Rhinolophus ferrumequinum: one gene and its partner. The protein of the gene in region 2 binds, or shares a complex with, the protein of the main gene of each other region. Links are inferred from orthologs where the notes say so. Each region holds a gene or a part of one and is shown on either strand. Other genes may lie near its edges.

What was found. The genes of interacting proteins can lie anywhere in the genome.
Region 1: SPAG5 (region 2) and KNSTRN share a complex: the UniProt entries of both Homo sapiens proteins name them as parts of the astrin (SPAG5)-kinastrin (SKAP) complex. The link is inferred for Rhinolophus ferrumequinum from reciprocal best matches to the Homo sapiens genes SPAG5 and KNSTRN.

The regions. Positions count from the first base shown.
Region 1 is NC_046289.1:64,663,815-64,670,238, forward strand, and holds the start of KNSTRN (small kinetochore-associated protein), read right to left. Parts: upstream 3,369-6,424; 5' UTR 3,358-3,368; coding exon 3,270-3,357; intron 1-3,269. UniProt on the Homo sapiens protein: Essential component of the mitotic spindle required for faithful chromosome segregation and progression into anaphase.
Region 2 is NC_046304.1:18,834,797-18,841,220, forward strand, and holds the start of SPAG5 (sperm-associated antigen 5), read left to right. Parts: upstream 1-2,414; 5' UTR 2,415-2,503; coding exon 2,504-2,554; intron 2,555-2,772; coding exon 2,773-2,898; intron 2,899-6,424. UniProt on the Homo sapiens protein: Essential component of the mitotic spindle required for normal chromosome segregation and progression into anaphase. Required for chromosome alignment, normal timing of sister chromatid segregation, and maintenance of spindle pole architecture.

The sequences.
Region 1 (6,424 bases), on a different chromosome or scaffold from region 2:
GGAAGAAATGCAAAGTTCTAAGGCAGGAATGGGCTTTTCTCCTAGAAGGGACTGAAAGATGAAAGGAGAGTGGTACAGATAAAGCTGGAAGAATGGCAGCCTTTGTAGGCCAAAGATAAAGAAATGAGATTTTATCTTAAGAGTAATGGGAAGCCATTATAGTATTACAGCAGGAGAGTATTACTCAAGTTATGTTTTTAAAAGCTCATTTTGGCCACTCCTGGGGGGAATGGATTGAAGGAAACGAGTGGAACTAGGGAGACCACTGGGAGGCTCATCCTTCAAGCTAGAGATGATGGTGGCTTGGCCATGATGGTGGTGGTTTAGTGAAAATGGAGAGAAGCAGACACATTCAAGACTTGGCTTTTGTAGGTGAATCTCAGGACTCAGTGCTAGATTGGAAGTGGCGGGGGGAGGAGGGATAAGAGATAAGGCGATCTGAAGGATTACTCCCAGGCTTGAATAATTGTGTGGATACTCACTATTTTGTGTTGGGGGAGATTAAGAGTTTAGTTTTGAACATGGTAAATTTGAAATGCCTCTGAGACATTCAAGTGTTTAAACTGTCAGGCAGGCAGTTGGAAATACCAGCTTTGAGCCCAGAGGAGAGTCTAGATTGGAGATACACTCTTGGGAGTCATGTGTATATGGGTGCATTTAAATCCATGATATTGAATGAGATCACCGAGGGAAAAAGTACAGAGACACTTAGGGCCAACGACAGGGACAGCAGCATTTAAAGGTTACAATAAAAAGGTGACAGCCAAGAGACCTGATAAAGAGGTGCCAGAGAGGTGAGAAGAAAACAAATCAATGGTGGTATCTTAGTAGCTAAGAAGGAAGAAGTAAGGCACTATTGAAGGAGGGAGTGGTAAACTATTGAAAATAACGGAAAGGGCAGGCCAGATGGGAAATAAAAAGGAGCCTTTAATTTAGCAACAAATAAGTCATTGTATAGGAAGAGAAATTCTGGTGGAGGGGTTTGAGTGAAAGCCATGTTGGAACAGGTTGAAGAGTACATGAGAGCTGGGGGAGCAGATGGCAGGTATAGAGAGTTTGTGAATGGAGCAGAGCAATTGGGCAGTAACTGGAGGTGGGCTGGGGGGAATCTCGAAGATGCAGATCCTAACTGATACATGTGCCAATGGGAATGAGTCAGCTGAGAGGAAGAAAAGGTTGCTTCAGAGGACAGAGGGGATGATCAAAGGAGCAAAGCCATAGAGAAAGAGGAAAGGACGTTGGGGTCTACAGCAGCATCTTCAAATTCTTTTGTTCATGTACTCCCACAAATAATAAAATGAACAAACAAAAAAAACAATGTACCCTCTCACCCATTTGTAGTTAATGCCTAAATATTTTCATAATTGTAAATATTTGTAAAGGACACACTTTCTACCTACCGTGTTTCCCTGAAAATAAGACCTAGCTGGACAATCAGCTCTAATGCATCTTTTGGAGCAAAAATTAATATATGACTGGGTATATTATATTATATTATATTATATAAGACTGGGTCTTATATTAATTTTTGCTCCAAAATATCCATTAGAGCTGATTGTCCAGCTAGGTCTTATTTTTAGGGGAACACAATATTATATATTATGTATGCTCTTTATTCATTTCTAAAATTCTTTTCTCTTTTGGTATTTCATTCTGGATAATTTCTATTGCTATGTCTTCAAGTTCACCAATCTTTTTACTGCAATGTCTAAACTGTTTTTAATTTCATCCATTGCTTTTTCATCTCAGACATTTTAGTTTTCATCTCTACAAGTTCAATCTGGGTATTGAAAAAATATCTTCCAAGTTTCTACTTAGCTATTTGAATATATGGAATACAGTTATAATAATCGTTTGGATGTCCTTGTCAGGTGACTCATACAGGTATCAGTTCTCAGTTGGTGCCAATTGATTTTCCTCCTCACTCTGGGTCATATTTTCCTGCTTCTTTGCATAACTGGTAATTTTACTAGACCTCAAGCATTGTGAATTTTACATTTTTGAGTGCTGGTTTTGTGTTCCTGTAGATATTTTGGAGGTTTGTTCTGGGATGCAGTTACATTACTTAGAAAGAGTTTGATCCTGTCAGGTCTTGCTTTTAAGATTTGTTAGGTGGGAATGAACAATGTTTAAACTAGGGCTAATGAGTCCTCACTACTGAGGCAAGATCCTTCTGAGAACTCTAACCAATGCTCCATAAATTATGAGGTTTTCCAGTCTGGCTAATGGGAATAGGTAATGTTCCAGCCCTGTGCGACTAGTGGCTACTGTTCCCTCTAATCATTTTGATGGTTCTTTTTCCTTGGTCTTAAATAGTTTCCTCACACTTATATAATGAGCAGTGTTCTGCTGAATACTTGAGGGAAGCCCTTTGCAGATCTCCAGAATTCTCTCTTTCTCTCTCTGCGCACTTTTCTCTTCTCCAGTATTCTGTCCTGAGCACTCTAGCTACCTTGGTTGCCCCAAACTCTGAGCTATCTCCTCAGCTCAGGAAGTCTGCATGGCCCTGCCTGGGTTCTCCCTCCCTGCAATACATCCTGGAAACTCTCTCAAGCAGTAAGCCAGGCAATCATAGGGTCACCTCATTTGTTTCTTGTCCATCAGGATCACTGTCCTTTGTTGTCTTATGTCCAGAGTTGTGAAAACTGTTGTTTCTGTTTGGGGGGTTGTTTTAGAAAGGAGGGTAAATCTGGTTCCTGCTACTCGATCTTGGCTGCAAGGGGAAGTTGTATATGTACTTTAAATATATTTTTGTTCAAACCATGAAGCTTCAGATTTAAATGATTCCATTTCTGGAAAATGTCCACCATATATCCTATTTGCAAAGCCAGTCCTCTGTGTCAAACCCATCAGCCAAATGAGATTGACTTTCCATCAGAAAACGTCAGATTTTGTTTTATTAAAAAAACTTTTTTTAAATTTTGTTTTTCAATTAAAATAAAGAATTCAAATTAAATGGAGAAGGCACAGAATTGAGCTACAGGGCTGTCCCCTTCAAAATTTTTCAAAGCCAACTCTCTAGGCTTTGCTCTCTCAAGGACTTCTTCAAGCCGAGTACTCTCAAGTAGTCCTTTTGTTTTTTTATACTGCAGAGCAATGTGCCAGAGTAGGATTCAAAATGAAGGAGGGAGTCAGTTGGGAAAGTGGAGATCAAGCAGAACTGGCTGACCTAAGGCTCCTTCTTAGGCTGATCAATAAGAGGAGAGGGAACTTATGAAGGAAGAAGTTCTGGAAATCGATTCCCTTAAAAACTGTCTGTGTCTACCTACCTTTTGGAAAAACTTCATGTCGCTGTGGGAATGCAAGCCTTAGTTTGAAGGCCTCTGGTGCAGTGTGTGAAGCCATTGATAGAGCCATTAGTGCTTCCTTTGTTGTAACAGAAGGGATGGGGAGAGAAGCAGGCTGGCGCAGAGGGAGGTAAGTTGGGGACTTCTATCTGATACCTCCAGTTTTCTTTATGAAGGATGAGCTGTCTACTGAAAGTGGAGGTGTGGAAGGTGGAGGGCGTCAGATATCTGGGGAAGGTAGAGAAAGTATGAAATGGTCATTACAAACAATGGAAACTAGTAATTAGAATGGAAACTAGCTAGGCAGGGCTGAGGTTCCAGTTGAGGTTGAAGGTCATGAATTCAGATCTGCATCACTCTGCCCACCTGTGTGATTTTCTTTAGCAATACTGAAGCTCTTATTCAATGTTTGTGAATTTGGTAAAATGCTGATCTTTTTCCTACGCTGAGGAATAACATGAATAACCACACAGAGGCCTGATAATAATTATAAGTTTATCAAAGTCCTTCCAGGGCTCTTCAGCGAAGGTGGCCTGGGACAGCTAGCCGTTTACATAGCACATAATGGCTTTCTTTTGTTTCTCATCTTCCTGGTGAATTGTGTTACAATTTCTTCTCTTAAACATAAATACCTCCACTCCTTGAGTTACCGATGCCCCTATGAACAAGGGTAAGGGTAGAAAGGGTGAGGAATGTCTGCTTTTCCTATCCCCAAGCAAACGGGATCTTGATGCATGGCAGGGGTGCCAGAGGGCTTGGCATTGCCATGTGTATTATCCAAAGCCGAGATGAGGCCACCATGGAATAAAAGAACAGGAATTCTCCAGACAACGGCTGAAGGCTGTAAATCAATGTATCGTCTTTCTTGATACCCCTCCTCTGCCTCCCTGTCCGTCATTCACTGGGAGAAGAATGGAATGAGATGCAGGGGGCTGAGCAAGTTTGGCTTATAAATCTCTTATGAGATGTCGTTTTCAGAATCAGGCTCAAGCTGGGATGTTGCCTAAATACCATGGTATAGCATATGCCATGTGCCAGAATCTAAGATTCTGAGAGTCAAATCAATCTCTGTTTAACGTTGTCACAAAAGCGCCACAGCCATGGAAGGACAGGTTTTCCCACAGTAACAAACTATACCGAGTTACATGTTAAAAACACACCACACATAATCTGTGAGTTCAAGGATCTGTGACACGAATAGGAGAAACACTCTCAAGTCCCAAATGAGTGTCAATGTAGTTGTATTTTAAAGTGTCTCAGTGGTAAGAGACCATTTCTTGAATTTTCCAGACCAAATGTGAATGCTTTGACTGGTTTTCCCTGGCCTCACAGCATGCGTCTAAGCCTCTCCCCACAGGTCCTGGGCCACTGGCTGATTGTAACCACCTACAATAATAACAAAGTGACTAGATCCGCGGAAACTCAAAGGAAATAGAAAATGCTTTAAATCATGCTTTCCAAAATTGGGGCTAGGGAGGCAGGCTGGATTACCCGCTGAAGTGGGGTGTCTGCTGTTGGGTGTAGGCCATTCTTGGTACGAGGTGAAGTTTTTGATTGCCACTGGGTTCTTCCAGTCCTTTGGGCCCAGAGGCACACAGAACAAATCCAGTCAGTACATCAGCTTCTGTGGCTCCTCTGCCGTCCAGTAGGGTTGTATGGCCATGGCCTGGATGAATGGGACCCAGAAATCCCCGATAAGGTCCTCAGGTGTGCCCAAATCCCTGGTGCCCACCCCGTGCCCTGGCTCTCACATTTCAGTGGTTGTGTTCTGGCAAAGCTTTGGAAGCTCCAGTCCCAGACACCAATGTTGCCCCAGAAAGACACAAAAGAGGGTGTAGAGGAGCAGGTTCTTTCTGGTCCAGGTCCCGGGGGCCCTCCCACAGCACAGGGCAGAAGAACCTCAGTGAGTTGCTGAGAAGTATTGACAATGCTGGACTCTCTTTTGAGTCAAGGCCAGACTTTGCTCATGCTCAGGAGGAAGGGCTTACCTGTCCTCCCTCTGGCTGACTGTCCCAGGTGAGGCCAGGGCTCTCTCAGCCTGGCTGTGTGATAACAGAAGGACATGGTCTGTGGTGCCGAGAAGTCAGGACCCCGAGGAGCAGCCCGAAGCCAGAGAGGCTCAATTCCATTTGGACATGAGGAGAGAGGGGCCCAAGCAGACCCCCACGGGCACAGGTCCAAGTCAGGTCCGACTCACTCCCTCCACTTCCTGGTGTCGAGTCAAATGGGTGGGAGTTATTTATCTTGCAAAGTACCCTGTCCACAGTCTTCTGTCTCTCCCACAATGCCTGTCTCATTTGGGTTTCTGTCCCACTTTTCATGGGCTGCTTGGGGTGCGAGGCGGGTCTCCACAATATAGGATAAAAACAAAACAGCCCAATTTGTCTCCAGCTCTGCCACAGACTGTCCCTGGGAAACTCCCTCCCCCTCTGTAATACTCATCTGTAAAATGGCCTGAGTCAGGGGTTTTCACACCACATGCTGTGCAGGAGTCAGGAGGTTGAGGGGTTCTCCAGGGCCCTCTGAGAGGCACAGCAGAAAAGGAGGCTGAACTGGCTCTGTCCTCCCCCACCCAGCACTCACCAGAGTAGCTGTTTTTTATGTTTTATATACTGTGTTTCTACACAAAGATTCTTTGAAGAAAGGTCCTGAGGCTACAAAGTTTGAAAACTGCTGGAATAGATGATTGTTAAGGTTCCTTCCAGTCTGAGATACGTAAGACTTCTGAAGCCTAGCTCAAGTCATCCCTCTTCCAGGAAGCCTTCCTGGTTACCCAGTCCTGGGTACTTGAGCTCCAGCAATACTGATGGTGACAGGCAGATGCCCTCAGTGACCCACTGATGCTCGTGCAGACGTTTAAGCTGTTTCCCCAGCTACAGGCTGAGCTCTTTGAGGGTAGATGTTGATTTTCCTTCCATGACTCTGTCCCCTTGCAGTACCATATGCAGAGCAGGTATTCAGTAAACTTGCTGATGTTTCTGTCATGAGCTCTCACCTGGGATAAATCTTCCAGAGAGAGTCATTGCTTTGGGGGGGAGGAGTCAGCCTTTGGTCTGCTGAGGGCCACCAGAGAGACCTGTCTTTTGGAAGCTGGGAACCCTACCTGGGGAACAGCTTCAGACTCACACGCGCCCCTA
Region 2 (6,424 bases):
ACAGGACTTTATTGGGGAACAGTGTGTACTTCTGGGATTTTTCCAAGTCAAGTTGTTGGCCTTCCAATCTTAGTTGTGGAGGGCACAGCTCAGCTCCAGGTCCAGTTGCCCGTTGTTAGTTGCAGGGGGCGCAGCTCACCATCCCTTGTGGGAGTCGAACCAACAACCTTGTGGTTGAGAGCCTGTGCTCCAACCGAGCCATCTGGTCACCTGGGAGCTGAGCGGCAGCTCACTGACTTCATTCTAGTTGAGGAGGGTGCAGCTCACTGGCCCATGTGGAAATTGAGCCAGCAGCCCCATTGCCCAGAGCTTGCACTCTAACCAACTGAGCCACCTGTCTGCCCAAGAAATGCCATTTTTGTAAAGGACTCAATGCCTTCTTCCTCTCCGTGTGTGTATGTGAGACAGAGAATGTGAAAAAGAGAACATGAAAGGGAAAGAGGGGTAATGCAAGTGGAAAGACAAGAAAAGATCTCAACTTGAGACCCCATTCTGCACAATTTTTTGGGGGAAAATGTGTGCGTGTATAAATAAACACAAAACCTGTGTGTGTATGTATATGTTCTTATAAAGGTGTACACACTATTGGTTACCTCATTCAGGGGAACCTTTGCCTTTAATCTTTGTATTGTATTGTTTCACTTGCTAGAAAAAGCATCTATTATTTTTAAAATCAAAAAGATTATACAAGACACCAACAACAAACTAATTCTGTTTATGTTACGTATTTACAATGGTATTTTCCCTCTCATCTACCCCTCCATATCCCTCTTAAATTGCTTCAGGAAGCGCCATATCCCTTTGGCTACTCACCTGGCATCTGACATACCAACTGCAACAAGAACTAAGCATTTCAATTCATACATTTCTACAATACAAGCGTTTACTGCTGGCACTTGAGTTTTCTGTCTTGGTTTTTCTGTCACTTCCCACCTTTGTTTTCTTTGCTAAGTCTTTTTGACCCTAAGTACATATATCTTGGGATTCCTTCTGCTGAGTCTTGGGCAATCCCAGGCTCAAGTTTGTGCTGTTATGTTGTCTTTCTCCCAGTTTTCCTTCCATAAAGCAACAGTTTTTTCTAGTGCCTGCAGGCTAAGACCATTATGATTCTAGAGCAGTGTTGTCCAACAAAGATGTAAACCTGTAAGTAATTTTAAATTTGCTAGTAGCTGCATTAAAAGGTAAAAAGAAACAGGTGAAATTAATTCTAATGTATTTTATTTAACCCAATATATCTACAATATTTCAACATGATATTTTAAAAATAAGATATTTTACATTATTTTAAATACAAAGTCTTCAAAATCTAGTTTGTATTTTATACCTATAACTCATCTCAATTTAGACTAGCCACACATGAAGTGCACAATAGCCACATGTGGCTAGTGGCTGTAATATTGGACAACACAGTTCTAGAGGAACCCACCCCTGTGGGCTTTGCAGTTCATAACATTATAGTTCCTCCTCTTTGGAGTATTGCCATTTCCAAACTCATTAAGACTTCAGATTGTAAAGGTGCTGTAAATGTTCAAAGGAACATACTTTATCATTAACTTTCAATAGCTAACCTTTAGGCTGTTTCCAAGACTCAATTCCACCTTAAATGGCTAGATTTCCCATACAGAGCGGATTCAAGCGACAGGAGAATGTAGTAGTAGTTGCTAGTTGAGCTGGAATCTTGACGGCTTATTTACTACCTGCATTGGGCAAATTACATGATCTATGATTCAGTTGTTTTGTCTGTAAAATGGGGATATTTACGGTACCTACTTCATAGATCCTTATGAAGTAAGGATCTCCGTGTGTGTATGTGAGATATTATATATAAAGAGTTAATATATATAAAGCATCTGGCATAGTGCCAGGTACATGGTAAATGTTCAATACATGTTAGCGATTGTTCCAGTAAACTCATTGCAGGCGCTCAGGTAAGTCCCAAGATAACAAAAAATTCTCAACGGTTAAATTACAGCGTGGGTTGAGAACTACGTCTCAGGCCATTTTCGAAGCAGGACCTATGAGCGGACTGACCAAGCCTAAATAAAAAATGCTCCACTCACCTTTTCCTTCCAGACTCCCTGGCCGGCTCTTTCTGGTCAAGGCGCGAGGTAAATAAGGGAAACCTGAAAAGATTTCCTAAGGCCAGGCCACACGGAGACAACTTTTCTGACAGGGTTGAGGGTGGCCCTGCTACCTGGGTACCCTCCTCAACATGAGGTACCGGCCTTAGGCCTAGCACACATCCTGCCCTGCAGCCTGCGTCTGTAGTGAGGGGTCCACCGCGAGAACACGCGCGACTAGGGGTCGGGCGGGGCGGGGCGGGGCCTGCGCTGGCTCCGCCCACCGCCAACCGGGCTTGATTACTGAGCGGACGCGCCAGCCTGACGCCCTGAGGCTCCGCAGCCAATCGGTAAGCGTGGAGCAGTTTCAAATAAAGGCGACGGGTGAACTGGCCGTCAAGTCTTGGGTCTGCGAGGTCATCGTCCTGCGTTCTGTGTTAAAAATGTGGCGGGTGAAAAAACTGAACCTTAGCCTGTCGCCTTCCTCGCAACCGGTGAGCGGGAGAGCCTCCTGGAGAGAGACTGCTGGGTCGAGCCTGGGGTCGGAGGTGGTGGGGTGGGGGGGCCTGTGGAGTGTTCTGTTGATCCTGCCGCTTCCGCGCGCCTGGAGTAGGAGTCTCTTATTGACCTGTGAGCTTCTTAGGGAGGGAGAAAGGGCGGGCTGGCAGACAGAGCCCAGGCTTGCTCACACTTTCCGTTCTTTCTTTCTCAGGGAATACCAGCTATGAGAACTCCTCTCCAAGAACTTAACCTGCAGCCCGGTGCCCTCACCAACTCTGGAAAAGGGCCCCCGATAAGCTACTCGCTGACCCCATCACTGTGCAAACTGGGGCTGCAGGTGAGATTCGCCTAGCCATCTTCTCAACTGGGCTCTTTGCCGAGGCGGAGAGCTCAGAGGAACAGAGGGCCAGAGCTGGAACGTAATTAATAACGATAATGAAGTCTTCTACCTCAGTGACATCCATTTACAGCTATTCAGGCCAACAGAGAGGTGCCCTAGGGTGGTTAAAGAAAATCCACTGAGAACATGCACCTCTATTTAGCTGCTAGATTTTATCACCTCCTCCCCTGTTCAATCTACCGAACTACATAGAAATACTACCACTTTGATTAGTAGTCTCCCTCTAACATGGGCTCCTGCAGAGGTCAGACAGCTGCCAGAGTGAGGCAATAGCCCTCCATCCTATTTTTTCTCTTTCTGATAATGAGAACTATATAGTTTACCATATGTTCCTTCTTGCTCTGGCTACTGGAAAGCTCAGGGTCAAATTTGATCATCAGGTGTAGATAGCTACTGTTACTCCTTGAAATAGGAAGATTTGCTTCCCTTTTTTTGACCATGATTTTGTATTTCATTAACCTGATCAATTGACCAATTGATCTCTGTTCTTTTTCATGAAGTCTGAATTATTTTTGGAAGGAGATGGGATATAAATAAAGTAGGTTAGAGGAGGAAAGAAGAATATATAAAGACAGATGGTAGCCTGAGTACATATGTATGAAGGTAGCAGTCTTTCTTGAAAAACTCTTAACACCTACTGTCTAATAGAATTTTCTGGGATGATGGAAATATTTGATTATTTGTGCTATCCAGTGTGGTAGCTATTAATTACGTGACTGTTGAGCACTTGAAAGGTAGCTAATGTGACTGAGAAACTAAATTTTTAGTTGTATTTAATTTTAATTTAAATAGCTACATGTGGGTAGTGGCTACTATTAATATATTAGCCAGTATAGCTTAGGTAGAAAAGAAATAAGTACTAAGTGGGAAGTGATCTTCATAGAGCGTATAGAATTTAACCATAGTCATTTGATCACAGTAGGAATTTAGGATTCTCTCCTCCTAATTAGAGGGCTTGCTACCTGCTGATATAGTTGGAAAAGAGTTTCTTTGCTATTTAAAATTTTGATTATTTATATAGTGTACATTGTTTGAAACATTTGCACAATATATAAATAATAAGAAAAAATATGTTTCTGTTATCTTAGATAACTACCATAACATATTTGAAAATCCTTTCTTGCATCTCTTTATGTGTGTCTGTTTGTATATGTTGATACATACACACATCCATAGTAGATTATTATACTTTTTTGTCAAGGCATTTTTTTTCCTTTTTTGCTCTCTGTCATTTTTGTTGCTTAGCTTCACTTTTCCTCTGATTTGCCCTTCCTCTGGAATTAATCCCTCCTACACTTGTCCTGCTCGTCCCAAGTAACCAATTCATTTTAACATCCTGTTATGTATCCTTTCATATTTTTTCTGTGTTCTTTTAATAATAACATGCAAACATACAAAATTATTAATCAATCACAATATATAGTCAATTCTTATGAGTAATTATGTTCTATAAAGTCTCTGTGAACACTTAATTAGCAAATACTGAACTGATGCTCCTAGGGAAAACACAGGGTTATGTTCCTGCTGACTTCTGATCAAACATTTGCGTTAACCAATCAATACATAACCTTATTTTATGTGTGTTTATGTTTTAAAACACTTTATCTAATATATATTGTCGATTCATTAACATTGCACTCATGCCTGAATAAAGCTTATGTAATGCACATAAAGCACATCACTGCTTTCTTGCACTTAGCACTTGAGCACTATGTTTGGGGGCCATTTAAAGCAGCAAAATCACCAACAGAAAGCACAGAAATGCGAAAACCCTGGCACTAAATAGATTATGAAAAGCAGTATGACAGCTAAAGTAAGAGGCAGAATGTCACCTTGTTCTCTTTCAGCTGGGAATGTGTGTTTCAGGTGATTCATATTTTTCGCCACTCTGCATGTCCACAGATGATCAAAAGTGCTGCAAATATTGATTTTGGGGTTACAAATAAATTTTAGTGAGTATGCAATTTCACAAATACTGAATGCATAAAAAATGAGGATCGACTGTTTATATTTCTCTGTATGTTGCTTTTTTCATTCAACAATGTGGTGCAAATCCCTCCAAGTCAAAAAAGCACAAAAATGTGAAAACTATGACATAAAGAGTTGATGTGGAACTAATCCATGAGATACTATGGTATGCATGAATCATAATTCATAAATGGTTATTTGTTTCATTTTTTTTGCTTCTATAAACTTAACATAAATATCTTTATGCATATATTAGGTACTGATACTTTTATTTTAATGAGATACGTTTTCAGGAATAGCATTGTTGGGTTGAAGGAAAGATGTTTTTCATTGTAAGAAATTTTGCTAGATTACTATCTGAAATAGTTATTTCTCCAGTATTGTATAAGGATATCCATTTCCCCACATCACTTCTTGTGGTAGTTATTAGAGATCTTTAAAATTTCAGCCAGTCTGATGTGGAATCCCATTGTTATTTTAACTTGCATTTTCTTGACTACCATTGAGTGTATCTTTCTTTATATGTGTGTTGGTTATTTGGATTTGCTCTTTTGTGAAATGCTTATTTTATGTTATTTGCTCATTTTTTTATTGGGTTGTTACCCTTTTTAGTCATTTTATAAGTGTTCTTTGTATATTATAGTCATCCTTTGTCATGCTTTCTAGCTAGTTTATAATTTTCTTTTTTTTATCTTTAATTCAGGGGTTATTTAGGAGTGGTTCCTAATTTCCAAGTGCTTAAAAACCTTTTTCTGTCACTTTTTAAATTTATTTCCTTGCATTATGATCAGATTATAATTTATTTTCTTTGTAGCCAACTATAGGAGGAATTTTTCTAAGTGTTCCATGAACATATGAAAAAAAAGCATATTTACTGCTCAAAGGATGTCAGATTCTATATATACCCATCAACAGATAGTTAATTACTCTGTCCTTGCATGTTTTTCAGTCTGCCATATCTATTGAATTTTGAGAGAGGTGTTTTAAAGTGATTTTTTAAAAAATTTGTGGTAATGTACTCATAACATAAAATCTACTATCTTAACCATTTTTAAATGCACAGTTCGGTAGTGTTAAGTATATTCACATTGTTGTACAGCCATTCTCTAGAACTCTTTCCATCTTTCAAAACTAAAACTATACTCATTAAACAACTTCCTATTTTCCCCTAACCGAGCCCCTGGCAACCACCTTTCAACTTTCTGTCTCTATGAATTTTACTAGTCCAGGAACCTCATGAAAGGAATCATACAGCATTTGTTCTTTTGTGACTGGCTTCTTTCACTCAGCATAATGTCTTCAAGACTCATTCATGTTGTAGCATGTGTCAGAATTTCCTTCCTTTTCAAGGCTGAAGAATATTCCACTGTATGTATACATCATATTTTGTTTATCTATTCATCTGTCAAAGGACACTTGGGTTGCTTCTGCCTTTTGGCTATTCTGAATAATGCTGTAGTGCAGGTAGGTGTACAAATATCTCTTTTGGACCCTA